7 linked regions of the Cricetulus griseus genome follow. The protein of the gene in region 4 interacts with the protein of the main gene of each other region in a pairwise test. Links are inferred from orthologs where the notes say so. Each region holds a gene or a part of one and is shown on either strand. Other genes may lie near its edges. The genes, in order: Mad2l1bp, Aen, Dnttip1, Homez, Prkaa2, Sdcbp and Snrpb2.

Evidence for each region.
Region 1: the proteins of Homez (region 4) and Mad2l1bp interact in binary tests that used the Homo sapiens proteins (3 or more experiments, as listed by UniProt). The two-hybrid records come from large-scale screens. The link is inferred for Cricetulus griseus from reciprocal best matches to the Homo sapiens genes HOMEZ and MAD2L1BP.
Region 2: the proteins of Homez (region 4) and Aen interact in binary tests that used the Homo sapiens proteins (3 or more experiments, as listed by UniProt). The two-hybrid records come from large-scale screens. The link is inferred for Cricetulus griseus from reciprocal best matches to the Homo sapiens genes HOMEZ and AEN.
Region 3: the proteins of Homez (region 4) and Dnttip1 interact in binary tests that used the Homo sapiens proteins (3 or more experiments, as listed by UniProt). The two-hybrid records come from large-scale screens. The link is inferred for Cricetulus griseus from reciprocal best matches to the Homo sapiens genes HOMEZ and DNTTIP1.
Region 5: the proteins of Homez (region 4) and Prkaa2 interact in binary tests that used the Homo sapiens proteins (3 or more experiments, as listed by UniProt). The two-hybrid records come from large-scale screens. The link is inferred for Cricetulus griseus from reciprocal best matches to the Homo sapiens genes HOMEZ and PRKAA2.
Region 6: the proteins of Homez (region 4) and Sdcbp interact in binary tests that used the Homo sapiens proteins (3 or more experiments, as listed by UniProt). The two-hybrid records come from large-scale screens. The link is inferred for Cricetulus griseus from reciprocal best matches to the Homo sapiens genes HOMEZ and SDCBP.
Region 7: the proteins of Homez (region 4) and Snrpb2 interact in binary tests that used the Homo sapiens proteins (3 or more experiments, as listed by UniProt). The two-hybrid records come from large-scale screens. The link is inferred for Cricetulus griseus from reciprocal best matches to the Homo sapiens genes HOMEZ and SNRPB2.

Annotation. Positions count from the first base shown.
Region 1 is NW_023276963.1:39,225-43,366, reverse strand, and holds the start of Mad2l1bp (MAD2L1-binding protein), read right to left. Parts: upstream 2,801-4,142; 5' UTR 2,698-2,800; coding exon 2,643-2,697; intron 2,227-2,642; coding exon 1,964-2,226; intron 124-1,963; coding exon 1-123. UniProt on the Homo sapiens protein: May function to silence the spindle checkpoint and allow mitosis to proceed through anaphase by binding MAD2L1 after it has become dissociated from the MAD2L1-CDC20 complex.
Region 2 is NC_048596.1:118,717,369-118,721,439, forward strand, and holds the start of Aen (apoptosis-enhancing nuclease), read right to left. Parts: upstream 2,801-4,071; 5' UTR 2,702-2,800; intron 2,604-2,701; exon of another isoform or gene 2,454-2,603; intron 1-2,453. UniProt on the Homo sapiens protein: Exonuclease with activity against single- and double-stranded DNA and RNA. Mediates p53-induced apoptosis.
Region 3 is NC_048599.1:14,681,305-14,685,283, forward strand, and holds the start of Dnttip1 (deoxynucleotidyltransferase terminal-interacting protein 1), read right to left. Parts: upstream 2,801-3,979; 5' UTR 2,734-2,800; coding exon 2,629-2,733; intron 2,074-2,628; coding exon 2,003-2,073; intron 1,394-2,002; coding exon 1,297-1,393; intron 1-1,296. UniProt on the Homo sapiens protein: Increases DNTT terminal deoxynucleotidyltransferase activity (in vitro). Also acts as a transcriptional regulator, binding to the consensus sequence 5'-GNTGCATG-3' following an AT-tract.
Region 4 is NW_023276807.1:210,071,609-210,075,890, forward strand, and holds the start of Homez (homeobox and leucine zipper protein Homez), read right to left. Parts: upstream 2,801-4,282; 5' UTR 2,627-2,800; coding exon 2,620-2,626; exon of another isoform or gene 323-2,619; intron 1-322. Other genes in the region: protein phosphatase 1 regulatory subunit 3E, read right to left, coding at 2,801-3,223, 3,309-3,725. UniProt on the Homo sapiens protein: May function as a transcriptional regulator.
Region 5 is NC_048595.1:44,756,287-44,760,396, reverse strand, and holds the start of Prkaa2 (5'-AMP-activated protein kinase catalytic subunit alpha-2), read right to left. Parts: upstream 2,801-4,110; 5' UTR 2,770-2,800; coding exon 2,676-2,769; intron 1-2,675. UniProt on the Homo sapiens protein: Catalytic subunit of AMP-activated protein kinase (AMPK), an energy sensor protein kinase that plays a key role in regulating cellular energy metabolism.
Region 6 is NC_048595.1:154,135,917-154,139,416, forward strand, and holds part of Sdcbp (syntenin-1), read right to left. Parts: intron 1,128-3,500; coding exon 966-1,127; intron 1-965. UniProt on the Homo sapiens protein: Multifunctional adapter protein involved in diverse array of functions including trafficking of transmembrane proteins, neuro and immunomodulation, exosome biogenesis, and tumorigenesis.
Region 7 is NC_048599.1:35,876,597-35,880,677, reverse strand, and holds the start of Snrpb2 (U2 small nuclear ribonucleoprotein B''), read left to right. Parts: upstream 1-1,281; 5' UTR 1,282-1,396; intron 1,397-3,294; 5' UTR 3,295-3,319; coding exon 3,320-3,383; exon of another isoform or gene 3,384-3,473; intron 3,474-3,827; coding exon 3,828-4,000; intron 4,001-4,081. UniProt on the Homo sapiens protein: Involved in pre-mRNA splicing as component of the spliceosome. Associated with sn-RNP U2, where it contributes to the binding of stem loop IV of U2 snRNA.

The sequences.
Region 1 (4,142 bases), on a different chromosome or scaffold from region 4:
TGTTCGGGTAAAGAAGTCTTCTAGGTGACTGAGGACACTCTCCAGTTCTGCCAGAGTCTGCTGACACTTCTTGCTGCTCACCTCAGTGGTGATCCTAGGTTTCTTCCTTACAGTGGCCTCTGCCTGTAAGACAAAGAATGATGGAAGAAAAGGATGTGTAGGATGAAGTGAATGGCCTTGGAGGAACCCCGTGGAGATACACAAGATTTCTGACATTGGGCTTTATCAGAAAGCATTAAATTAGGGAAATACATGCACTGTATAAACTACAGTTCTCTATGCCTTGAATCGCAAGATGGTATTGAAAAACTGTAGGGCACTGGGTGGTGGTGGCGCACGCCTTTAATCCCACCACTCGGAAGAGGCAGGTGGATCTCTGTGAGTTCAAGGCCAGCCTGGTCTACAAGAGCTAGTTCCAGAATAGCCTCCAAAGCCACATGGAAACCCTGTCTCGAAAAACCAAAAATAAAGAAAAGCTGGAGGGCATCAAAATAGTCACAAGGGGGTGAGAGGGCTCAGCAGTTAAAGGGGCTTGCTGCACAAGCCTGACAACCTGAGTTCAGATCCCCAGAACACAAGTAAAGACAGGAAAGAATGACTTCACAAAATTATCCTTTGACCTCCACTGTGGCACAGGTACCCAGTCTCTTCTCTCTCTCTCTCTCTCTCCCTCCCTCTCTCACACACTCACTCATTAATATATGCTTCCTCCTAAAATAGCAAGAAAAGAAGTTCATTAAGGGAGAAGAAGGAGTGAGTTAGAAAGAGCTCCCTGTAAAGAAAGCATGAAAGAATGTACAACATTGGCCACAAGCAAGAAGCTTCAGAAGGCTGGGCGTTGGTGGCGCACGCCTTTAATCCCAGCACTCCGGAGGCAGAGGCAGGTGGATCGAGGCCAGCCTGGTCTCCAGAGCGAGTGCCAGGATAGGCTCCAAAGCTGCACAGAGAAACCCTGTCTCAAAAAAACAAAAAACAAAAAGAAGCTTCAGAAGATAAAGAGACAGTCCCAGCACCAAATGGGGGGGGGGTGAATTAAGAGTTAGGAGAGCTGATTATCAACTGCTAGTAAAGGAGACACCCCCAGGAAGCAAGTCCACTAGACAGTGTAGGCAGGTAGAAAGCATGGGGGGCAGTGCTGAGCAAAAACCTCTGTGAGGAAACTCTGGGGAGAATTTTAATACCCTTTAACTTTTTTTTTTTTTTTGAATCATTTTTTAAGACAGGGTCTCATGGGGCTGGAGAGATGGATCTGCACTTAAGAGTACTGGCTGCTCTTCCAGAGGACCTGAGTTCATGGTGGCTCACAGCCATCTATAATGAAATCTGGTGCCCTTTTCTGCTGTACATATGTACATAATAAAATAAAAAAAAATCTTTAAAAAAATAAATTCTCCAAAGAAAATACATTAAAACAAAACCAAAAACAGAGGTGAAAATGTGGTGAGAAAAAAAAATTCAGATGTAAGCAGCTAGTTCAGGTGTGGGGTTATAGCTTAGTAATACAGCACTTCTCTAGTGTGTGGGAGGCCTTGGAGTCCCAAGAGTGGAGGGGAAGGAAGGGGAGGGGAAGGAAGGGAAGGAGGGAGGAGAGACCATTAAGGAAAGACAAGATGTGGTGGTGCACTCTTATAACCCAACAGTCACTGGGGAAGTTGAGAGGCAGGCAGATCTCTGGCCCCAACTACATAGCGAAATTCTGTTTCAAAAAAATAAAAAATTTAGAGAACAAATTCATGATGTCCTCATATGACACATACTAGGAAGAAAGAGTTTCAGACAGAGAGCAAGGGAAGAGTAGAGACACCACCAAGACCCAAGTGGGGCGAATTATGAGGAAGGGAAGACTTTGCAAAGGCCTAGGCTGCCACGGAAACTGAGGATTTCTTAACTCACTTTCCTACTTGTCCACCATCTAAGGGCCACAAGGTCTTCCCACCAATTTTCTTTCAAAGCCTGTGCATACCTGGGGAGATTTTCGGTAGAAGTTCTTAAGCTGTTCATAGGGCAGAGGGAGCTGTTGGCGTTGGTACATGATATGCTTTAGAAGTTCACAAGTAAACTGACAGCAGCCTTCCTGGCTCACGGGCCCTGGGAAAACCACCGGCACCAAGTCTCTCGGGCAAAAGGGCTCCGGAGGATTGGAAGGTTCCTGGGGTGGCGTGATGGCGGTCTCGGGGTCTATCTGGGGAGCATGAGTTTCTTCCGGCTTCTCGTACCAATCCAAATCTAGTCCGTGAATGAAAAGTTAAAGAGAGGGGGGATCAAAATCAGCATCACTCTTCTCGTTCCCAGGGGTCACAGCAGCAGACGCCCCCATACACCCTGGGCGGTGACAGGAGACCAGATGCTGGCCCGGCGGGGGGGCGACTTAAATGACATCGGACACAAGGAGGCTTTCGGAGACAGAGTGAGGCTTCGCTATGAAGGGTGGCGTGGGGGCCAGCACACCCGAAAGGACACGGCAGGAGAAGCAACTCCACACAAAGCGAGGAAGTGACCCACAGGGCCAGCTCGGGCCGGCCGGGACACCGGGAACCAAAGGGACAGGGAGGAACGACGGAGGAAGCGCAGCGGCTGACTTCCTCCAGGGAGGTAGCAGCAGGGAAGAAACAGGCCCCCAAGCTCTGGATCCCATGCCTTACCGGGCACGGCCACGGGAGCCGGCTCAGACAGGAACTCTGGCCTGGGCGCAGCCATCGCTACTGCTCAGTCGCCCTGCGGTTAAAATAAATAGACGCCGCGCGGAGCATCATGGGAAGCTAGCTTGAGCTCCACTTCCTGCAGCCTGCCAGCCGGAAGGGATTCAGCGCGGCCCCTGGGTGGTGGAGGGTGGAGTTGGCTGAGTTGAACCACACCCTGGCAAAGGAACGTTTGGCCCTCCCCACCTAGGCGACCCTTGCGACCCCTGGGGCCGCCTTCCTAAAGGCGCATCCTTTCACGACAGTTCACTGCGCACCTCTCACTGCGCCCTACTTCGTGCCAGGCCCTGTCCTAGGTGCTGGAGACTCAGCCACTGTCAAGTCAATCTGCAGCCCTATTGCGGATTAGACAATGGGCTTGCACCGGGGTTGTGAAGAACAGGGGCGCCCGCCCCACAGCGGGTTGCGGCAGGGTGAGACTTTAGGGCAGGGAAAGGGTGGTCCCCAGAATGTGTGCCCCGTGACCTATAGGTAAAGTTAGCTAGGTTAAAAGGATGATCCTAATGTTTGAGATCATGAGACACCACGTTCTCTGTTCAAGGACTAGAAGAAATTCATATTATAAAGAGTTACAGTTTTGTTGGGTGGTGGTGGCATACACCTTTAATCCCAGCACTCCTGTGAGTTGAGGCCAGTCTGGTCTACATAGCGATTTCCAGGACAGACAAGGCTAACAGGGAAACTGTTTCAAAAATAACAACAAAAGCAAAAGAGTTAAGCTTTGTGGGGGGCAGAGGAGGGGCAGGGGTTGGTTTTCCAAGACAGGATTTCCCTGTATAATGGCCCTAGCTGTGCTGGAACTCACTATGTAGACCAGGCTTGGAGAGTCACCTGACTCTGCCTCCATATTCTTGGATTAAAGGCGTGTTCCACCACTCCCAGTCTAGGGGGTTAAGGTTTTGTTTTTGGTTTTTGGTTTTTTTTTTTTTTTTTTTTTCCGAGACAGGGTTTCTCTGTGGCTTTGGAGGCTGTCCTGGAACTCACTTGTAGACCAGACTGGTCTTGAACTCACAGAGATCTGCCTGCCTCTGCCTCCCGAGTGCTGGGATTAACGGCGTGTGCCACCAACGCCCGGCTTACAAGTAATGTTTAAGTTTGAATATGATTTTTTCCTGTAGGTTGATGGGTAAATTTTTTCAATTAGGGCAGTGAGGAACCCTGGGAGATGCCACAGAGGGTAAGGAAGCTTTCCACTGAGCCTGATGACCTGAGTTCAAACAGGACCCACAAGGTGAAAAGAAAGACCAGACTCCCTCCACACCTCTCTGTGGCAGGCACACATACACACACACACACACACACAGTAGGGAAATACCTGTTATGGGGCTTGCAAGAAGATGTCAGAGAAGACAAAGGCATTTGCAGCCAGAACTGATGACCTGAATTCAGTCCTCCTGATATACATAATGGGAGAACAAAACAGACTTCCACACCAGCATTACA
Region 2 (4,071 bases), on a different chromosome or scaffold from region 4:
ATAGGAATCCAGAGTCCATGCTCTGAAGTCAAGCTCACCTCTAAAAGTGGTAGCTTACAAGACTGCTGGGAGTATGAATACAGGGAAGCAAAGGTTTCAGAAACAGATTCCAGCTGAACATCATCACCGAAAATCCCTAAAGCTGAAATCTGCAGTGCAAGGTTTAACCTAGGTCTCTATAAATCACTGTGCTCCCATGTCTGACATACACATACCTCACACATAGTAAGGCTCAATAACTAGTCTCTGCTCCTTTCCTCCAGCAAGGCGATTCTCTTTCGGACACTGGGCAGCCAGCTATCCTTAGGCCAGAGCTGCCTCCATCTGGACTCACTGCTCTTCCCAAAATATACCCCTCCATCGCCTGCAGACCCAGCGGCAACTCTGTATCAGCAAATGCTGTTCTGGAACCCCTGCATCTCCCCAATGTTGCAAAGAGATTCTCTGGGGGTCCCAACTGTACCAGATGCTGGGCAGCTACTAAGATGGAACCCGGGCTGGGAAGCTTGGTTTGACCAGAGACACATAAATGCAGCACATGGTGTGCCAAGAGCTGGCCAGAGGTACGAGGAGGCCAAACAGACTCGGCCTGCAGGTGATTCCTAGAAGTCACTTCCATGTAAATGGAGAACAGTAACCCTTCAGAGAAGAGGGAGTGGGCAGTGGGAGACTCAGGAGCCACCTGAAGTCACCAGGTTACACCATAAAGTATAACAGGGATGACAGCTGGGGAGGCTGCTGCTTCCTTTTTACCACTTCATCTTCTGCCACTGACTTTCGAGGTCCTTCCACAAGCCACTCTTATCCTAGGCGAGTGTCCTCACCCTGATGTCTGTTGGTCAAGTGAGGGAGACCTGAGACACCCAGGTGGGCCAGTAAAATGTAGACCAGCAGCCCTAATCCAGGACATCAACTGTGTCTATTTGGGAGCAAAGAAATTCACCCTGTGAACTACAATACATTGGATTTTACACTCCTCCTCAGTCAACAGCTCAGTCTCAGACTGCCTCGAGTCAGCAAGCTGCAGAGCCGGACCATGTCTGCTGTCCCTCTCTTTGGGCAGACTCCTTTCAGAAGCTCAAGCCGGGCCTCCCAGTGACCGGCCCTGGGGTACTATAGAGCTCAATATTCTTGGAACCCCAGAGCAATGGGACTAACAGGAAGGGGACCTAGGACCCTGAGCAGGCACCCAAACAGGAAGAAACACTGAGTTAAGGAAGGCCTGGCAATAGAGGGGATGCTGCAGCATTTCAGACGGATTTCCCAGGTAGCCCAGGGAGGAAAAGGGTGCTCAGAAAAGGGAAGCAACAGGCACAAAGCTAAGAGCGGGGAGAAAGGACCAAGATTTTGGTGCAGTCTGTAAACAGCTAGGTAGCAGGAGGTACGGAGACAGGTGGAGTGGGGAATGGTGAGAGACTGCAAGCAAGCGACAGAGGATTGCGCTCAGTGACACAGGGGAGAGAGAGACTGGAAGGTTTTAGGGGAACATCACAGCTACTTCATTGGAGAAGGTTAGAGTAGGAGCCTGGGCAGTAGTAGCACAGGAGTAGGTAGCAAAGCCAGAGGGCAAGTCCTGTGTTTGCTGATGCCAGCACCTGCATGAGGAATATTGCCCCACTTAGCCAGGAGGAGACTCCATGACCCCTGCTGACTCACCTGCTCTCAGCAAGCTCAACCGGTCTCCAAATAGTACTCCCTCTTTTAAACAGAGGTTGTCAGCAACTTCTTCATATCCACAAACCACATCTTGGAACTGACAAATTCAGAATCTCAATTTGCCCTAGCCCAGCAATGGGAGAAAAACTGGCCCAGAAGACCTGTGCTGGTCCTGCTGACCACTGACTTTCCATGCTGGCAGGGTTTGAAAGAAGCTAATATTAGGTTCCCTTGAGGAAATGTCTCTAGTCTTGTATCTGAAGAGATAAAAGCAGTCATTTCCTATAGTCCCTGGCCCTGTGGACATGCCAGAACCAACAATTACCAAGGGAAACCACTGGATGGAACTCAATTTAGCTGCAGAGAAGTATTCAGAGGACACAGGCCTTTCAGCAAGGGCACACACAAATTTTTCTCGTCTTAAGTCTGGTCAGTATGATAGGCACTCGGCTTTCAGCTGAGGGTCCCTGACCCAAGAGGGCTCCCGATGAGAAGGCGCCCAAGAAACTGCAAAGCCAGAGACGTCAGTGGCCTAAGGGCCGTCTGCCTACCGGCAGACCAGGTCTCTATCAGAAGGCCGGTTTACCATCCTGTTCTAGCACGAAATAACCAGATGACCTCGGGAAGGCACTGTCGTCCCTCAACTATTAAGCGCGGGCTTTGACCAGGTAGCCCTAGGGAGAAGGCAAAGTTTAGGGACAAGACCCGAGACCCACCCTCAAGTCACGATTCTGATAATCATCCCAGTTAGGGAAAGCCTGGCGCAATAAGGCTCTCGGTGCTACCCAAAAGCTTACCAGACCAAAAGGGGTGGAAGAGGGGGAGTACGCTCTCCCCACTGGTTGTGGCGTCCGGTAGGCGATCCTCGCAGTCGCCGCCCCCCTCAGGCCCACAGCCCCCGAGAGCGGCCAGGACCGTGTGAGGCAGCACGCCGGTCTGACTGCACACCGCCCGGCCCGCCCCGCCCGCCGCCCCGCCCCGAGAGCGGCGGACACCTGGCATAGAGACCGGCGGCTCGGGACTCCCCGGCCGACCCCCAGCTCACCTAAAAACCCGGCCGCGTTTTCCCGGCCTACACGTGGAATCCTTGCCCGCCGCAGCGGCAGCTTGCCCGGACAAGCCCGGCTTCGGCTGCCTGTCTATTGGTTCGCTGGGCCGCAGCGCCCGCCTAAGGCCTTTGCTGATTGGTCTTCCTCGAGTAGGTGTGGCAGCCCAGAAGGGGAGGGACTACCTACGGGGCGTGGCTTGTGCGCGGAAAGGGCAGTGTTTGGAGGTTAGTAAGAGGTGCAATGACACTTAGCTCTTCAGTCCCAGACGCTAGTGAAGGCCTACGGTTTCTGATCTGATGCCCAATGAACTTCAACTTTCAAAGATCGGTTGACACACTTAGCACACCCACATCTGCCTAAGGGGGACTGCAGCCCCTCCCGCCTCTGGGTTTTGGAAATCTGGTGAAATATTAACAGTGAACCAGGGGTGTGTTGGCGCACGCCTTTAATCCCAGCACTTAGGAGGCAAAGGCAAGAGGATCTCTGTGAGTTCCAGACCAGTCTGGTCTACAGAGCAAGTTCCAGGACAACAAGGGCTACAGAGAAACCCTGGCTCGACTGTAATAAATAATAAAATAATCATAATAATACAGTATCTGATACATTGGAAAAATCAGGTTTGCTTCTTCTGGACTGATATTTCAATATTTAATATTTTTTTTGAGACAGGTTGCCTCTACATTTTCTTTTTTTCCTTGCGTCAAGTTGACTTAATGCCCTCACATTTTCTATGTAGCTAGCAGGAATTTGAACTTCTGATCCTCTTGCCTTTGACATCCCAGTGTTTGGATTACAACCTTTTGCCACCACACCCAGCGTACCTATTCCTTTGTGATACTTTTACTCATATACTTCTTTCCCTATGAAAAGTTTTGAAAATAGGATGGGAGAGTTGACCCAGGAGGTAAAAGGTACTTGCTCTGTAAGTCTGACAGCCTGAATTTGATCCACCAACTGCCTTGCAAAGCCAGAAGTGGTATCACACATGTGCGATCCCTGTACTCCTACAGGGAGATGGTACATGGAGACAGAAAAACTAAAGTTCTCTGGCTGGCTAGAGTAGAAGGATAGAAGCAGAAATGAAACACCCCAGTCAACAAAAAACTCCCTCAAGTTGTCCTCTAACCTGTATGGATGTGCTCATGCTCCCCCCACCCTCCCCCACACACACACCTGTGCACACGCTTGCATTTTAACAAGTAAAGTTTAAAAAGGAAAGCTAGAGGAGCTCATAGGCCCCAAAGGTGAACCTACCACTATTATTTTGCTAAATGGACAGACAGTATCAAATTTCCCTTAATAATCTGTATTTTCATAAATTAGATTGATGGAACTCTAAGACCTCATTAGAGAAGTTTCTTTGTGC
Region 3 (3,979 bases), on a different chromosome or scaffold from region 4:
CACCCTAGTTCTACTCTCCCTTAAGTCCCAGTCATCACCTCTTCTTTTCACTCATTCCCTAGCATTTATTTATTATTTGTTTCATAAACTTCCACATTCGCAATCATGCCTGGCAATATGCTAATCATGGATTACTATTTTTTTCAGTGCTTGGGATCAAACCCCGGGCTTTGTTCACATAAGTGCTCTAAGCTATACACACAGCCCCAAATTATTTAACTAATGATGCTGATAGTATTTTTTAAAAATCAATAAAAAACTTCGTCATTTCTTTTCTTTTCGTTTTTTTTGATTTTTCAAGACAGGGTTTCTCTGTGTAGCTTTGTAGACCAGATCTATCTGTCTGCCTCTGCCCCCCGGAGTGCTGGAATTAAGGTTGGGCACCACCATCGCCTGGCAAAAGTTTGTCATTTCTTATGTTCTAATCAAGGGTGCTGAACACATTAAAATGAAACTATTTGGCAAAAAAAGATATTACTTCCAAGCAGTGGAAAAAATTTTTGGAGTATATATTTAAAATTGAAACCTTGAGTTCTCTCTGTGTAGCATGAATATGAAGAGAAATTGGTGACAGGAGGAAAGACCAGCCAGACTGTCTAGATGTCTTCCTGTATTCCCACCCCCGTATTTCTTCCTTTATTTCTTTTTCTCTCTTTTTGAGATAGGGTCCCACTATGCATTTCTCACTATGTAGACCATGCTGGCCTTGAACTCACAAAGAGCTGGGTGCTGGGATTAAAGGCATGTGTCACCATACCTGGCTTTTTCTTTTTAAGATTTTTTTTTTTTAAGATTTTATTTATTTATTATGTATACAACATTCTGCTTCCATGTATATCTGCACACCAGAAGAGGGCACCAGATCTCATAATGGATGGTTGTGAGCCACCATGTGGTTGCTGGGAATTGAACTCAGGACCTCTGGAAGATCAGTCGGTGCTCTTAACCTCTGAGCCATCTCACCAGCCCTCTTTTTAAGATTTTTTTCCCCCAAATATTTTTACATGTATGCATCTGTGGAATGTATACTCTGTGTATATACCTGCGGAGGCCACAAGAGGGCACTGGATCCTGGATCTGGAGTTCCAGGTAGCTGGGAGTGGCCTGATGGGGGTTTGCACTACTAACAGCTGAGCTACTTTTCCAGCCTCTATTCTTTTCTCCTCCATCAAGGGGTCTTACTATGCTGTCTCAGCTGGCTGTCAGCTGCCTCAGCCTCCTGAGTAGTTGGGTCCACCACTGAACCTGGCTGCACTGTTTGTTTTCGTAGTGCTGTTAGCTTTGTACGCCTCTCACCTTCATGTACTTGTTGAAGACACTCTGGATCTCCTCATTGATGCTTGGCTGCAAGACAGCACGGAGGAGATCCATAGAGATGGCTGGATCTGTGAAACTGCATTCAGAAGAGAGACAGTCAGAGGGAGTGTCCCAAACATACTCCCCAGGTGGCCCAGCAGTACTGGACAAAACCAGCTTTGTGCTCAAAGTCTGGCAGATCACAGAAACACAGCATTTTATTTCATCATAACTCTCCAAGGTCCACCTGCCTCAGACAAGTGCTGTGATTAATAAATGATTATCAATAACCCAGGCCAAAAATACAACTAGAATTCCAAAGGCCCATCCTGGGTTCTTTCCCTTCCCCAGGCTGCACACTTAACTGGTAGCCCCACATCTCTGCTGAGAAAACCGAGGCTAAGAGAAATTAAGGATAACCAAAGTTATCCGGTTAATAATCGTCAGAGCCTGCATTACAAAGGTCATCTGAATCTTGGTTTTACATTCTCTCCATCACAGAGGCGATAAACGCGAGAGAACGTAATAGACTGTACTACCTTTCCTGTTTTTCTTTTGGAAGTGGAACTGACTTAAGGTCACAGGAAGAATCCCAGCCCCCGAGTCTCTCTCCACCCCAAGTCCTCTTTCTGCCAATTCCTCATCCCAGACTCCCGCAGCGGGGTTCCTAAAGCACTCACCCGGTCTCACCCAGGGCCAGCCTTACCTTGTGGTCATCTGAGAGCGGCGGCCCCTTCGCTGCACCTGCCGGTGTTTTATCATTATGTTCCAAGGGTTCTGTGGGGACCAAGTGGGCAAATGTCACCGAGGCCCCTCACGGTGGGGACGAGGGGTCAGTGGATATACATAAAGCTAAACATAGACGTTCTTGCTTCTCACTTCTCCCACCTTGGGGTGAAGGGGAATTCAGTGGCTGGAAAACCCTGTCAGGGTGGAGGAACTGGGGAAAATGTTTTCTGCCTCAAAAGCCCTAAGCTCGCTTTTTTTTTTTTTTTTCTGGAAGGGCAAGGATAAGAGCAGCAGTGTTTACCGAGCGTCTACCCTGTGGCGGGTGATGTTAGGGCGCTCTACCCGCCTTTATCAGCCCATCCCACCACAACTCCATCAAGCTGGGGTTACTGCTGTTCATTTCACAGAAGAGAAGCCTGGCGCTCAGAGCTTGTCACATCAGGCCCACGTCACCTAGCTAGAATCTGAATCCAGGGTCGTCGCACGGAGAAAACGGCACCCCCAGGGCCGCACAGCCGCCGCGTTCTCTTGCCCGCGGGCCCGGAGCCCGGGAGCCCGAGGCCCTGCCCGGCCCGAGCCCCGGCCTCGCCCGGGCGCCCTCACCGTGAGAACCGGCTGCCCCGCCGCGCCCGCGTCGCCCAACTCCAGGCCGCCTCGTTCTGCCACGCCGGGGCCCCGCGGCTGCTCGGTGTCGCCAGTCGCCCCCATGGCGCCCCCGGCCCACAACAACCTCAGCTCGACTCAGCCACCGGAAAGCGGCGCCGTGACGTCACGGGAGCGTCCCGGCCACCCGGCCGGAAGCGCGACGCGGGTGCGCCGAGCGGTTGCTATGGGAACCGAACTGCCGCCTGGGAGCCGCGTCTAGGTGGATTTCCGGATCTTGGGTGTGGGGACGAGGTTGGGGCTTCCAAACCCCTGGAAGACGACGGCTGGGGACCGGGTGTGGGTGTTCGGGGACCATTCGGCCCCGGGACGAGTGCGGATGTGAGGGCCGCAGAGCACAGGCTGTAGCTGGGGAACACAGGGTTTGGGATAGGGACTGTCCGCAGTGCAGTCTTGAAAACCGCAGGAAAATCTGATACATTGGTACAAGGTCCCAGAAGTGGAGCGGACCGACTCAGGAACCAGGAAAGCCAACAGAAAGAGGGCTGCTCGTGCCATCACAAACAGCCACTAGCCTTTAGTGCCTGCCTCTTGTTGTCTGAAGGCATCAGAATGAAGGTTGAGTTTTGGCTTTTGAGCTTGCTCTGTTCCAGAGAGCTGGCTTTCCTTTCCACTAGACGGTTATTCTGGGATAGGTTGGGGATGAAGGGTTTAGCAACAGTGGCTAAACACCCACAAGAGCCCCACTTAGCACTGTCTCAGAGGTAAGCGTGTCCGTGAAAGAATTGGATTCATTTGCGGGTGATTGATAACGTTACTCTTCGCAGGTTGCCGTAATCAGGTAGTGTAAAGTGTATGGGTTTTGCGTTAGGAAAGATCTAGGTTCAGTCCTGTTGTGATATGATTATTAGCATTGGCTGTGGCAGGTGTGATGTTGCACATAACCCCAGAACTTAGGAAGAAGTAGGAGGAGGCTCAGGAGTTTGAGGCCAGCCTGGGCTGCATAGCAAGACCCTGTCTCAGCCAAGGGCTAAGAATATTGGCTGTGGGTCTGGATCTTTGTTCCCCTCATATTAACTGCATGGTCACTCTCACTCCCTTCCACAAGGACCAAGTTGTAAACTTTTTGTATTGATGCTGCAACACTTGGATACTGCTTTTTCGTGGGTTCTGACAGTTCCCAAGGATGGACAGAATGTTATGATTCAGTTACACCACTAGCTTGGTTATTTTCTTTTAAGTTGTCTTTCCAGTTCTTCCCTCTGTCAGAGGCTAGGAAAGCCAAAGGCCCTTTCTGATCCTGTGGACGGAAGGAAGAACACTGAGCTTTTGTTCACTACCAGGGCCGTTC
Region 4 (4,282 bases):
GCGAGTTCTAGGACAGGCTCCAAGACACAGAGAAACCCTGTCTCAAAAAACCTAAATAAATAATGTACCTAGTCAAGGATAATGGAGGGAGAGGAAGGAAAGATGCCACGCCAGGTGGTATAGCGGGTTGGCCAGAGCCAGGAGAGAACCCAGTGTATGGAAAGCTGGCATTTACATTGGTTCCCGAGTTCTCTAGCAGGCTCATGGGCTAGTGCCTTTCTGACCCTGTAGAACTGGAATGCTGGCACAGGAGAAGGTGGGGTAAAAGTCTGGGCCCCTTGGAGGACAGGAAGGCACAGCATAATGAATGATGGTCTTTCCCTATGATAGAGGATATATAGCAAAGTTTTTAATTTTGTTCTTAATCAAAGAAAAATACATACCACCATGATTACCCACACAGACTATGGGAACCTCCTGGGCTCACAATCCCATACTCTTGAACAAATTACTGAGTCTGGACTTATTTCTAAAAGAGATAATGCTCAAGTCACAGTGCTGTTTTAAACATGCATGTCACACATTTAGCACACAAGTTAAATAGGATCTGTTAAGAAGTAACAGTCACACACACACACACACACACACACACACACACACACACACACACACTAGGAATGATGCCACCACAATGGAACCTCCACCCAGTCTCCCTGGGTTCCTTGTTGAAGATTAGAGAGTGACCAGAGTTTGGTGGTTTCCAGTACAGTGCCTCCTGCGACTTTGCTGAACCTGAAGGTGATCCCCAGGAAACATCAAACTGTTTTCTGTACAAGGTCAGAAGATGCTTAGATGTGAATGTTTGATGAATGACTGCAGGGGCAAAGGGACAAGCCCCAAACTGAATTCTGAATGATGTGTGGGTACCTGGCAGGGAAGAGGTGGAGTGAGAAACTGGCTGTGGACAGGGATTTCTCAAGGGAAAGGGGATGCCCCGTAGAGACCAACAAGGGTGAAGAGTGGAAATAAAGGCAAAAGTCCTACATGTTCAAAGAAACAAGTGAGGGGGCTGGAGAGATGGCTCAGAGGTTAAGAGCACTGGCTGCTCTTCCAGAGGTCCCGAGTTCAATTCCCAGCAACTACATGGTGGCTCACAACCATCTGTAATGAGATCTGGTGACCTCTTCTGGCCTGTAAGCAAACATGCAGGCAGAACACTGCATACACAATAAATGAATAAATCTTAAAAAAGAAAGAAGGGAAAGGGAAAGACAAGGAAAGGAAAAACAACCAGCAAAACCCAACTCTCACCTGGAGCCTCCCTAGGAAGGGCATGAGGTGTGAATGTGGGCATTGCATTAGGCTCCAGGTTCTCCATTTCATTGACTTGGATATGGATCAAACTGTCACCTCTGCCTTCATTTTTTGTTTTCTATTTCTTATACCCATGACCTCCAGAGTTCCAACTGTTCCATTCTGGGGCTACCATGCATCACTTTCCCTAACAGTAATACTGGTCTCCGTTTTCTCACGGGACTGGGGCTCTAAGTCTGTGGAAGTTAAGAGCAAATGGCACAGGGTGAGCTGTGGCGTGGAACACACTGAGGCTATGGGCTGCTTATGGGCTGTATCCTGGATCATCTGTGCCCCACTCCCAAAAAGTGGTGTGTGTGTGGGGGAGACTATCCTCATCTCCAACCACAGACTCACTGTGCTAGGTAAGCCTTGCTGCTGCTTTTAATTTTCTGAGACAGTCTCATGTAGCCCAGGATAGATTAAATAATCAATCATATTAGCTGGCTGGCCTCAAACTCAACAGTCTCCCTGTGTGTGTCACAACACCTGGCTTGCCCTGTGGGCTTTAATTGTAGCACTAGATTGGAGAATACAGTTTCTAACCTATACTGTGCCATGAACAGATCATGAGACACCAAAATGTAGCCCTAAAAACATAGTGGCTCACACCAATAACCCCAGCACAGCAGGGGCTAGGGCAGGAGACCCTGGGCTAGAGACCCTGTCCAGAAAAAAAAAAAAAAAGGAACCTTAAGGGACCACCTAACTCAAATCCAATTTCTCACAGAGGAACCTGGAGTCCAAAAAGATAAAATAACCTGCTCAATCATACAGATACTTGGTGGTTTCCTCTTCTTTCAGAGGCACAAAGAATAAATCAGTAGTGATTTTCATGATTCACTGTCCCTCCGCAGACAGTCCACAAAGTGCTTCAAGGTTTTAAGAGGCACCCAGAAAAGTAAGGCTGGCATTCATTTTTCTGGAAGCCTGATTATGCAAACCCCTTAGATGCCCCATTATTTGACTACAAGGGCAGGCTTGGAGTTGGTTTTGCCACCATCTGCAGATGCCACCAAGGCTCGCCCCGTGGCTGAAGGACTCTCTCCCATGTTTCCTTGAAGACTGAAGCCAGGAACTGCTGAGAGTCAAGGGAATGCTGTCACACTGCCAGGGCCCAGGGGCAATGGTCAAATTCCTGGGGTTAAGCAAGGCAATTTCGGCTCAGATAAAGCTAGGGTGGGCAGGGCACGGGGACCTGAGGTGGTAGGGCCAGTGAGAGGGAAGCAAACCGAATGACTTCACTGGGCTTCCTAGCCCAAGGAGGCTTCACTTTCCAGAGCCCTTCTGGGCCTCTTATCTCGAGTTCCTTCCGCTTACACCTACCTGCCATTTTCCACCCTAATCTCTTGAGTTTCACAGACGGTTTCCAGCCACCTCGACTTGACTCTCTGGGACCGCCCTCCACCCATCTGCCAATTGTGGTTCCCGGGTTCCTGGCGCCACAGTCTCCCCCCACGCCTGGGTGCCACTGTTTTGTCCCTGCTGTGGCCAGCAGGAGCCTAGTTCAAATAAAATGGATCCAGCCCTGGGGCTCCGCGGCTCCGGCACCACCAGGGTGCTCGGGCCCAAGCAGCGCGTAGTCCCGGCCACCGTTGTTGTCCCAGAACTCGCGGCCGGTCACGCGGTAGCGCAGGGCGAAGAGCAGGGCGCCGCCGACCGGAGGCGCCGGCAGGCGGAAGGAGAAGCGGTCAGCCCGCGGCGGGGCCGGGGCAGGGCCGGCGTAGGCGGCGGGCGACTCCCGCAGGCTGCGCCAGCCGTCCGCGCTCCAGCGCACGCTCACGCGCTTCTCGTAGGCCAGGTCCAGCACGCGCGCGCTCCCGGCCACGCCCAGCGGGCCCGCGTCGGCGCGCTCCAGGCAGATGCGCTGCGCCTGCAGGCGGGCGGCGAAGCCGGGCTCCAGGGCGGGCTCCAGGGCCACGCGCGCCTCCTGAGGAGAGAGGGCGGGGAGGCGGGTCAGAGGAGGGCTTGGAGCGCGGAGGCCGAGGTCCCGGGGACGGGGGCGGGGCGCCTACCTGGAGGCCGCGGGCGCGCGGCGGGCACGGCGCGAAGTGGCGCAGGGCGTCCCTCTGCAGTTGCACCTGCACGTGGCGGGGCACCCGGGGCGGCTCCCCCGGGCGGAAGCGGCGGACCACGACCAGCTCTAGCCCCAGCGCGTCAGCGAAACGCACTCTCTTGCGAGTGTCAGGGCTGCGGCTGCGGGCTGCCCGCGCCCCGCCGCCACCTGCGGGCGCAGAGCGGGCCCTGCGCCCCCGACCCGGAACGTGAGCCCGCGAGCGGGCGCCGGGCCGGGTCCCGCCCTCCCCCGGCTCCTCCTCCGACTCCTCCTCGAGGCTGGGCCGCTGGCTGCGGTAGTAGGCACGTTCGGTCAGCGCTGCTATAAAGCTCAGGTTGCGAGGGATGTCGGTGCGCGGAGGCCGCTCGCGGGACATGGCACCCCTGCGCCCCAGCGGGGCCGGCGCACAGTGCCCGCCCGGCGCGTCCTCACTCGGCCACCCGCTCCGCGTCCGCGCATAGGGCGGAAGGCTGCTTCGGCAGCTGCTAGCCCTGGACTCGCCTTCTTGCTGTCACCTCGCGTTCTTGGCCTGGCGGGTTTCCTTGACCACCTTTCCCTGCCTTTGGCGGTCAACCCCACTGTCTTCTAAGACTGTCGGTCCTGCCGGCTTCCCGCTGTCTGCTCTGAGCGTGCGCTCAACGGCGCTCTCCCTTCGGTTCTGCGGGCCTCGCTGACCCGGCCCCCGCCCACAGCCCTCTGACAGGTGGCTCGGCATCTATCTTCCCTGCTGCACCAGGGGGCGGGACTGACTCCACCCTCGGGGTCCCAAATGAGTAACTCCAGTATGAGAAGGGTTAAAGCGGGGAGGAAAGAGTAATCCTTCATTTTCTTGCATGGAAAGTTCAAAATGCCGAGAGGCTAATTCTCTTCCCCAGAGCTCAGTGTTTTCTTAAACCCAGGCTACAGGTTTGGGATAGAGGTGAAGATGGGCGT
Region 5 (4,110 bases), on a different chromosome or scaffold from region 4:
TATATATATATATATATTCATTCCTTGGATAAGATAGGAGCGCAAGAGGGCCAACTCCTAGCTGAGAAGCAACTGGCAGTTGACAGCTTGACAGCTGCTCATCTGGCTGGGGATTGGAGGCTAGTTTTCTTCAGATGTGACTCCTGGTAGGTTGCCCATGCTCCAGTGGTTGGCCCTATACCCATGCACAGATTGGCAGCACCATGTGGACTCAGTGAGTTAAAAAAAAGGAGTACATAAACTTGGAATGGAGACGTGGCAGTGTATGATAGGAGTTGAAGGGGAGAGAGTAGGGGGTGTATTTGATTAAAGCACATTGTATATAAGTATGAAATTGTTAAATAAGTAAAAATGTATTTTTAAATGTACATGCTTTGTTTCACCTTGAATTAACTGAACAACTGGAGTTGGACTTACTACAAACCACATGCCCTAGTTTAATTTCTGTCATAAAACACCCTGACTAAAAGCAACTCAGTGGAGAAAGAGAGTATTTTAACTCAAAATTCCAGATGCCATCCATTTCTGGGAAGTCATGGCAAGAACTTGAAGCAGCCACATCCTTAGTCAAGAGCAGAGAGAGAATGCATGCAAGCATGTTTGCTCATGCTCAGTCCTCTCTCCACACTTCTACAGTCCAGGCCCCAAACCCAGAATGGGTGGGTCTTTTCATTTCAATTAATACAACCTAAGCAATTCCCACAGATATGCCCACAAGCTAAGTAATCTAAGTGATCCTTCATCAAGATGACCTTCCGAGAATATGCTACCTTGGGTGAATCGGTTAAAAAAATTAGCTATTGCACCACAGTGTCTCCTTAGGAAGATCAAACAGTGTCAGGAAAACTTCAACCAGTTGCTCATTCCACCAGGGTTCTCCAGGAAAAGGATTTTCCCCATAAATCAAAGGTCCCTTCTGTTAGGTTTGCAGTTTAGGAAGGTGGCGCTTAGAAGCAGAGAGAAAATATGACCTAAATAGATTTAAATTATCCTTTGACAATGGGCTGGACAAACAAAAGCACTTAGCAGAATGTGAAAGAATATAGGGCTAAGCTATATAACTAACCCTAAATGGCAAAGCAACTGTCGCTTAACTGCGCAATGTCTTAACAAAGCAGTTCTCAGCAAAGATGTTGTCAACATCATTCATTAATCTCTGGATCTTCTCCTGTTCTTCCAAGACCCCAACTGATTTTCATCTCAACTTCATAGCCTTCACAAGACTTCAAAGAATTTCACAAACAATTTAGGTCTTTACAAAAATACCCACTCAGGAACACCACGTGTGACCACTTCATTATAATCTGCCAACCTCACAAAACTGCCCTCTGCTCGCCTATTCTCGGGCTTCACACGTGTATTCTGATTGTCCTGGTAGAAAGTAAGCCCCAGGAAAGCTCAGGTTTTGTTCTTTCCTAGAAGTCTGCTGCCTGGAACAGTGCCTCATGTGTGCTAAGAGTTCTCAGTAAGTGTTTTCTCGTTGTACAAATGGGTATAAGATATACCAAGAACAGGGGTCAGTCGTTGAGAAATGACGCGTCTCTCCCTCCTACTTTTAACCCAAGTCTTCACTTGAGGTTAAAATGTAAAATAAACCTCGGCATAACATTTCTAGACTGCTTACCCAACAACATTTATCCAACAACAACAAAAAGCTAATGTTTCACTTTTAATTCTCAACTTGCTACCAAGTATTTTTAACAAGAGCTGTTAAGAGGACAGGTAAGCAAAGCCCATGTGACTCTTATTAACTAATAAGAAAGCAAAGCAAAGTTTAATACTTAACTAGAAAGTACAGTGCGAAATTTCCAAAGCTGCCTGTTTTGTGTGTATTTGTTTTGGCTTTTTTGTTTTGTTGCTACTGTTGTTACTGTTTTCTAAACCCCAATTGCAATCCCTTCACCAAAGACAGCAAACCTCAAGAACACATGCCTAAGCAATCCTGACCTCTTGGGCCCCAAATTCCATCACAAAGGATCGTTTGTTGCGACCCTGACCCCAGAAACCTTTCTCAAACATTTTACACACCAATCAACCTGCAGAGACCGGGGTGGGGGTGGGGGTGGGGGTGCAACCTACTGCATTCCAGCATTTCACACACTCAGCAAAGGAACCCCCCACCTCCTGGCTCTAGGCATGCCCCCCAGTCAACTCCACCATCAAAGTCTGGTACAGGGAGGTATAATAGGGAAGGCAGGGACCTCTCAGCAAGGCCAAAATTGGAGGACATCTTAGACTTCAGACCCTGGATCTGCCAATTCTCTGTGACCTTGGGCGTGTCGCTGGAGCCTTGGGGTTTGCGTTCTCTCACCTTTAAGGTGAAAACCACACCCGGACCGTGCCACATTAAGGAATGACTGAGGTCACAGGTGACGCTCCACGCAGGGCATCTGGCACGAGTGGGAGACTCACTCCCAATCCACGGCGCGGTGTCTCTCCCATCCTCCCCATGCTTCAGGGCCCTTCAGACTGGGCCAGTCGCCCAGTTCTGCAGACAAGCGCTCTGAGGGATAAAGAAGGGACTGGGGACTCGCAGGGACCGCCGAGGCATAGCTCATAACGCGGGCTCCCCCGACCCACGCCCGGGGCTGCTGCGCGAGATGCTGGGGGCTCCCCGGCTCGCCCGCGGGCTCTCCACCTGCCGCCCGGCCCCCCGCCGGCATCGCTGCACTCACTCTTCACTTTGCCGAAGGTGCCGACGCCCAGGGTGTCCCCCAGCACGTAATGCCCGATCTTCACCCTCCCGTCGTGCTTCTGCTTCTCAGCCATGTTCGGCGCACGGCCTCCCTCGGCCGCGGGCCCTCAGCGCCGCCGCCACCGCCGCCGCCGCCGCCTACCCACAGTGCAGCGGGCCCAGGGGGCGGGACGGGGACGCCGGGGGCGCCGGGCGCGGTGGGGCTGGCGAAGCCGGTGGGACGCAGAGCCCAGGCGCCCTGAGGAAAGCCCCAAGGAGTGCAGATGGGAGGGACGAATCTGAGCGCGACAGAGACGGAAGGAGAATCTGCAAAGAAGTGGGGGAGAGGGGGTGTGGACAGTGAGACTTCCCTCGGGGCAGGTGGGGTGGACGCTGGGGTGGGCGGCTCTCCTCTACCCCCCGGGATGCTCCTCCGGTCAAGGCTCGATTGTCTGGGGACGTTCTAGTCTGTACCCTCTCATAACTCACGCTTGTTTTGCAGTTCCTAGTCGTGTTATTGTTGGATCTCAAACCAAGGACAAATGGCTAACTGGGGCGCCTGTTAAATGATCAGAGGTGATGCTGGCCGCCAGGTTGTCCCAGCATCCCTCCATCTCCACCCTACAGTCCTCCTGGCTGGCCTACCCCGCCCCCTACCTTGAACTCTGCAGCCCTGGCTGCCACTTCCCCCAGCTCCTCTGGCCCCCATCTACCTCAGCCATTTTGGCTACATTGGTCCAGGCTCTTCTCTTGCTCTCCCTCCCCCCCCCTTTCTCCTCACGTGGTCCTGCTCAGTATGGCCCTGTTCACTCTGGACCCTCCCAGATGTCTCTGCCTTGCTTCTGCCGTTTTGTCCGCTTTTATTTACAATAAATCTTTCCCACTCTCTTAGGTTTTCTATTGCTGTAGGGGGGGAAATGACCAAAATGCAAGTTAGGGAGCAAAGGGTTTGTTCGCTTTACACTTCCACAACATTGTTCATCATCAAAGTCAGGGCAGGAACCTGAAGGCAGGAGCTGATGCAGAGGCCATGAAGGAGTGCTGCTTACTAGCTTGATTCCCATGGCTTGCTGAGCCTGGTTTTTTTTTTTTTTTTTGGGGGGGGGGGGGGTTTCGAGACAGGGTTTCTCTGTGTAGCTTTGGAGCCTATCCTGGCACTCGCTCTGGAGACCAGGCTGGCCTCGAACTCACAGAGATCAGCCTGCCTCTGCCTCCCGAGTGCTGGGATTAAAGGCATGCGCCTCTAATGCCCGGGGGAGCCTGCTTTTTTATAGAAACCAGGACCACCTGTCCAGGGATGGCACTACCCACAATGGCTGCGCCCTCCCCCATTAATCACTAATTAAGAAAATGCATTACAGCCGGATATTATGGAGGCATTTTCTCAGGTGAGGTTCCCTCCTTCCTGATAACTCTCTGTATCAAGTTGACAAGCC
Region 6 (3,500 bases), on a different chromosome or scaffold from region 4:
AGTGAGGTCAGGACTTTACAAAAACACAATGGTGTGTCTTGAACATGTGCCGAGGGCTACATACAATCATGCTCTCAGCCCTTTGAGTGGAAAGGTAGTGCTGGCTTTTCCTGCCCAGGTCAGCCTCATTCACCTAAACAGTGTGCCACTTATTTTGTTTGTGGAAACTTGGACTCACTAAGCTAAGGAGCCTTAAGACTGAAACAGAATCAATAAGATAATGGCTATAAAAAAGAAATAGAGCAAGGGGGTGTGTGTGGTGGCACACTCCTTTAGTCCCAGCACTCGAGAGGCAGAGGCAGGAAGATCTCTGTGAGTTCGAGACCAGCCTGGTCTACAAGAGCTAGTTCCAGGACAGCTCCAAAGCCACAAAGAATCCAAAAAAAAAAAAAGAAAGAAAGAAAGAAAGAAAGAAAGAAAGATTGTAAATTGACGTTTATGAGATCTACCATGTCCATAACATTTTAAAATGTATCTGAGATTTCATGTCTTTAGTGTGGCAAGGTGATTCACTGCCTAAATTACAAACAACTTGTTCACAAATGGCCTATCAAGTGCAAGTTTTATAAATAGAAATAATAAACTTGCAAAGTCATCTCACAAATAATTATCACTTAGTTTACAAGTGCACACCCAATTCTTACTCTTCAATTTTCCCTTTACTTTCACATACGCTGCCCTATGTCAAGCCTATATTCTATCACATAAATTCTATCACGTGGTTTATGCAAACCCCATGACAGCATTCAGTAAAGAGAATCAAAAAGAAAAGCTTGTTTGCAGTGATCTGCTTGCAAGTTCCAGCACAGCTTCTTCCGAACAGGTAGAAAATTTAAATTAGTAGATTCGTAACATTCCTCATTGGGGATGTGTCATTACAGCCGGTCAAACTATTTTCATTTCAAATTATTTGATATTAAAATTTCATGACCTATTTAGATAAGTTCAAAAATATAAATACTTACATTATCTATTGACTTAAGTCTGAGCCCAATTTTTCCATCTTGATCCTTACACAGAATAACTTCACGAATCCCTTGTTTAATTTCTGCTCTCCGAATTCCAGCATCGTTACCTGTCACAGGTGCTACCATATAGTTCACACTGGATGGTCTTGCTACCAACTGCTGGAAAAACACATAATTGGTCAATATTTAGAAACACTTTCCTTGAAAGTAATCTACAGAAAACTGGAGCATGCACAGTTCTAGTTCTTACAAATACTATTCCACAAATAAGTTCACTCAGGTGAAGTCTGAGTTCTACAATAATGACACTGGTTTTTCACTTCTCCATTCCTCTACTGATTTACTCCATTAACCTTGGGTAGATAAGATTCAGTGGTTTTGCTCTAGGCTTGTTACTTTAAGTCAACTGGCACTCCTGTGTATCAATCATCATCTGCTGCCAAACTGCCTCAACCAGAGAACATGTAAGTGGCAACAGTCTCAAAAGACTGCCTTGTCCAATGAGGGCTATACTATATGAAGATGGCACAGCACTGAAAGCAACACATGAATCATTTCTCACAAGATATCCCTGTCACCTACAACTATGTTTTACCTTCATTTCAAACATAATTTCCTAGAACTAACAGGTCACACTGGATTTTTACAGCACGAATTCTCCAGAAGATTTCTCTGGTATAATTATAAAATTACCTATTTAAAAATAAGCCAAATATGAACAAGGATTTATATCAGGAATGAAATAAAGAGATGACATAAAAACATTTATATTAAACTACTCTTGACAAAGTCACCACATGTATAATGATATTGGGAAAACAGAAGTATCATGAGCAGGGCAGTGGCTGGGGCTGATCTTTTACCAAATATAAACACCAGCTCCAAATGGATTCAAAATCTTAACTGTTAAGATCTGCTCACAACATAGAGCTAGGAGAAAACACAAATCTCTTTGACACTTATCTTGACAATGTATTTTTTTTTATTATTTTTCACCAGAAGCATAAGCAAAAATCAGTAAGTAGGACTATATCAAACTTAAAAAGTTTCTTCACAGCTGGGGCCAGGCATGGTGGCACATACCTTTGATCCTAGCAGAGATAAGTAGATCTCTGTAAGTTCAAGGCCAGCATGGTCTACATAGAGAGACCCTGCCTCAAAACAAACAAAAAAGGTCACAGGAAGAGAGCAACCAATGGGAATGGAGAAGTTATTTACAAATCATATATTAAGGGACAAGTATCCAGATGTATAAAGAACAGCAAAAAAGCTGTTCTCAAAAGTCAACAAAGAAAAGCAAGTAAATCAACTTAAAAAATGGGCAACGTGCCTACATAAGCTATTTTCCCAAAGGTAACAAATGGCTCATGGGAATGTGAAAGGGATCATTTATCATTAGAAGATGCAAATCAAAGCCAGGAAATGGCACTACCACCTCACATAAAAGTTTATCTACCAAAAAGACAGAAATGTTGGTAAACTTCTGTGCATTGCCATACACCAAATGTACTCAGTATAACCATTATGAAAAACCATATGGAGGATCCTCATAAAATGAAAATGTACTTGCCCTAGGTCAAACAATCCTACTTCTGGGCAAAAGCAAAAGGGAAATAAAAATCACTAAATCCCAATGATAACTGCATACCCATATTCATTACTCATAGTGACCAAAGCTTAGAAGCAAGTATCTGTCAACAGATGAAGAAAGAAAATGTTGTCTAGAGATACACAATGTCATAATACTCAAGCCATAAAAACATGGGCAGTTGGACTGTATGATGACCCTGGGGGCATTATACTAAAGGAAATATGTCAAAGACAAAACGATAGTACAGTCTGATGTTGATATGAAAACTATAAGTAGTATCAGGATTAGAGGGGGTAAGGGATGGGCAGAAGAAGAATGGGGAGATGGACAAAGTAGACAGACTTTCAATGATAAAAGTAAGTCTGGGGTGCTAATGAACAGCACAGTAACCATGGCTTGTCAATCTTTGTAACTGAAACTTGCCAGTGTTATAACTATATTCTAAAATGTTGTAACTCTAGGAAGGGATAGATATAGGGGTTGGCTTGACTGTGGGAACACTTCACAACATACATAAATTGATACACGATATGCTGTACACCTTCAATATACATAATTTTAATAATGTTGGGGCAGAGAACTAGATGAAATACAAAAACCAAAATTACACAGCATGTAAAATGAAACTGTCACTGTGGAGAAGAGTTAATAAAAATCTCCAGAACAAATTAAATAGAACAAAATGATAGAGAAAGAAAAAGAGCACACCAAAGAGCCTTATTATGTAGATAATTCTAAAGGAAACCAGATTACCTTTGAGGCAAGAAACATGCAAATGGGGAGGGGACATTGGTGTGCTAATCAAATCAAAGGGAACAAAGAATGCAGACCTGGGCAAAGGAAGTCAGATATACTAACTGGCCTCTGAGCCAGTTACTAAAATAAAACCTATTAATTGTTTGTTTTTTCTGTGCTAGAAGATAAACTTTCTATAAATATCA
Region 7 (4,081 bases), on a different chromosome or scaffold from region 4:
AAAATAGCTATGAACTCTTGGCCAGATCTATTTATATAACACAGTGAACGGATCGCTTATTTCAGGAAAAGCTTTTGAGCTGCTCTCATTACCACCAAGCAGTTAATTAGCTGCTTAGATGTGTGTGTGTGTTAATGGGCAGGGCACCTTGTTGTTCCTTAGAAATTATTTTTATATTTACTTGATGTTCTTTTGTTAAGAATATACTAAAAAAAAAAAACAGAATATACTCAATAAACCAGGAGGTAATGGTGCATGCCTTTAATTCCAGCACTTGGGAGGCAGAGGCAAGTGGATCTCTGTGAGTTCAAGACCAGCCTGGTCTACAAGAGCAAGTTTCAGGACAGGCTTCAAAGTAATACAGAGAACCCTGCCTCGGAAAAAAGGGGGAGGGGTATTATACTCAATAGTCTTTTTAAAAAACAGGCTGGTTTCTATGTGTGTATACTTAAAGAACACTTTCCTATGGTTGTTCCTACACTTACAGGATCCTCACTAGATATCACACTTGTTTCATTGTGGCCTAATTTCCTGAAACTTCATCCATTCATCCAATGCATATTTATTATCAGTCATTCTTCCAATTACTTCAGTGAACAAAACAAAGTATCTACCCTCAAGACACTATTTCCATGCCACAACTTCAGGTGATTAAAAAACAAAACAAAACAAAACAAACAAAAAAACCCCCAGAAGCCTCGAGCTAATGAAATCAACCAATTTTGTTCCCACCCCAATTTTTAACCTAGAAAAATCCAGACATTTTGTGAGGAAAGGAGACAGTAGGAGGGTGGGAGGAAGTTAATGGTTTCTGAGTGAGTTTAGGCATGTGACCTTTAGGTTGATTGCTTGTTCCTGAAACATGGTGAGAGAACCAACAAACACTCTCTTCGCCCTGGGGTCGAAGACAGGGCTGCATCTAATGTAATCTGCAGAGTGCTGGAGTGTTCTTTCAGACTCTCAGAAATCTGAGGTTGAATTCCGGGAGTGAAAAGGGCCATTCTAAAGGTGGCATTAAGCAAAGTTGGCCAGCACTCATTGAAAGGTTTGCCCACTTGTCTCTGGAGACAGGCTGAAGAACTGTATCACATCCTAAAGTTGGGAAGCTTCAACATCGAGGTAGGAGAAAACCATCCCCTTCCCTTCTCTCCTTCACAGCTTGGCCCCTGGATCCTAATTTCATCCTCTCCTTCCCACAGTAACAGTCCTCGCCACCCTTCAGGGCTGCGCATGCGCAGAAAGATTCCGGTGCGGGAGGCCGGGGCCAGGAGATATCGATTGACTCGGTGCTCGGCTCCTCGACTTCTCTGCGTTCGATTGAGGAGTGTGGCCTCGCTCTTCCGGCGCCAGGAAGCTCTTCCGGTTTTGGCTTCAAGCGGGACGGAGCTTGCTTCAGGTGTGTCCCTCTGAGTCTTCCTAGCTGTGGGTGGTTTCGGGGGGCTTGGCCGGATACTCGCACTGGCAACCGAGCCGGCCAGGGCGAAGGTGTCGTCTGCTGCGCGGTCCCGGGCTCGGCGGAGAGTGCGACCTAGGGGAGGAAGGGACGGCGACCCAAGGGCTGGCGGGTTGAGGCCCGGCGTCGCGACCGGTTCTCACGGAGTGATTGGGTTTTTAACGCCCGTGGGGCCCGCGCGTTGGGCAGATTGACCGGTGTGTGAAGAGGCTCAAGCTGCTGCCTAGGAATCAGCCCTGGGGTAAAGAACGGGCGGTTGTTTGGGGCATTTACGGTCCGATGAACACTCTGAGCCCTCCGCCCTCAGCAGCCTTTTGGATGAGGGCGGCGGGGGCATTTCAGGTGCCCCCCCTTCAGCCGGCAGGAGCTACTGCCAGAGTTTCTGCTCTGGTCCCTGTCTTCCTTGAGACCCCAGTCCTTCTCCAGGTTCCCATTTAGGGAAGCAAGCCTTTGATAAACGTTACCTACTAACTGTGACCTGCGTAGTGCAGTCCCTTCTTGTAAGTCATCCATCCCATGATGTTCAGCACAGCGTGTTGTGTGACGTTCAGACCCTTGAACTTGTAATAACCGTCAATAATAAATAGTAACTTTAGGTGCTTGCTGATGCAGACCGTTAGGTATCTGTCTCCTTTAGTCTTCTGGGCTCCATTTTGTAGGTGCTGTTACTATCCGTAATTTGTAGCTGAGGACCCGAGGCATTAAGTAAGGAACTAGCCCCCCAGCAAAGCAGATTGTAAAAGCATAGACAGAATTTAAATCCGGATCTCATTGGTGCCAGAATCCGAGTTCTTAATTATCATTCTAGATTGTTTGCTAAGAGTATCATTCCTTTCAAATCTGTCAGAGGGAATCTCGAGGTCAGCCGTGGAGGTGATGTGTATAAATTAAGAAATACGTTTCAGGGCTGTCGAGATGGCTCAACTGGTAAAGGTGCTTTTTGTCCACCTTGAGCACTTTGAGTTGGGCCCCTGAGACCCATATGGTGGAAGAGGAGAACCTGGCCTTGAAAGGTTGTTCTCTTACCCTAGAATTAGTGGTGACCCTCTCTCTCTCTCTCTCTCTCTCCCTCCCTCCCTCTCTCTCTCTCTCTCTCTCTCTCTCTCTCTCTCTCTCTCTCTCTCTCTCTCATACACACACACACACACACACACACACAATCGTTTAAATAGTTTGTGAATGCGCTTGTGAACTGCATTGTAAATTTTATTTTTCTATTGCAATATTTTTTTTCCTAACTAGGCTTATGCTTTCTAGTTTCTTACATAAATGTTTAAATCACCGAAATAATTTCTGGTGAATATAATCAAAATGCATTGTATGACATCCTCAAAGAATTAGTGAATATACTTTTAAAAAGTTATTATTATTTTGTTTGTTTTTTCGAGACAGGATTTCTCTGTGTAGCTTTGGAGCCTATCCTGGCACTCACTCTGGAGACCAGGCTGGCCTTGAACTCACAGAGATCCCCTGCTTCTGTCTCCCTAGTGCTGGGATTAACGGCTTGCGCCACCAACCCCGAAAAAGTTATTTATTTTAAAAAATATTATGTAGATCATTTATTGGGGGTTGGGTAAGAAAATGTAGTACCTTGAATAAAATGTTTCTAAATCTGTGTGTATTGGTGTTCTGTTAAGTTTTGACCGTGAGAACTATTTTCTTTTTGTCCAAAAAGCCCCAGTAGTGGCTAGGGAGGAATTGCTGTCTACTGTCAACTAACAGTTTCTGACATCTGAGGTGGCAAAAATAATTTATCAACTAATGGTTCTTGTCTTTGGTCATGCCATACATCTGTGTGCTTTAACCCCCCTTGCTAACAACATATTACTTATTTCTTTTAGGCTATTCCAAAGGTTTTACTCAAACATGGATATCAGACCAAATCACACGATTTATATCAACAATATGAATGATAAAATTAAAAAAGAAGGTATGGTTTGTTTGTTTTGTTTTTTGTTTTGTTTTTAATCCCAGGTGCACGCCTGGGATTAAAGGCGTGCTCCACCAGTGCCCGGCGAAGGTATGTTCTTTTAAAAATACTTGTTCACAACTAAAATGTGTTGGTTCACCTATCTTAAGAATGTTTCTTAATGTCTGATCTAGTCATCTTTCATTTGTTCTGCAATGGTTTATCCCATTTTTACACAACTCGAAGGTTTTTTAATATAAGAACATGCAGGGACTGAAGTGCTTTGAATTGTTTTAACTCATAAATGGTTTCAAATAACTATTTAAATTAGATGGCTAATGAGAATAGTTTGGATGTTTCTTTTTTCAATTTACTATAAATGAATGATAGAGGTAGTCATTGTATTGCTATTTTATGAAGAACTTAGTCATTGTTTCGTTCACAAATTCCTTCTTATTTGTACAGAATTGAAGAGATCCCTGTATGCCCTGTTTTCTCAGTTTGGACACGTGGTAGATATTGTGGCTTTAAAGACCATGAAGATGAGGGGGCAGGCTTTCGTTATATTTAAGGAACTGGGTTCATCCACAAATGCTTTGAGGCAGTTACAAGGATTTCCATTTTATGGTAAACCAATGGTAAGCTAATCCTATTATTTCTGCTTTAATCACTATTATTGAATGATACAGTAGGTTTTAAGTATGAACTTGATGCTAGGC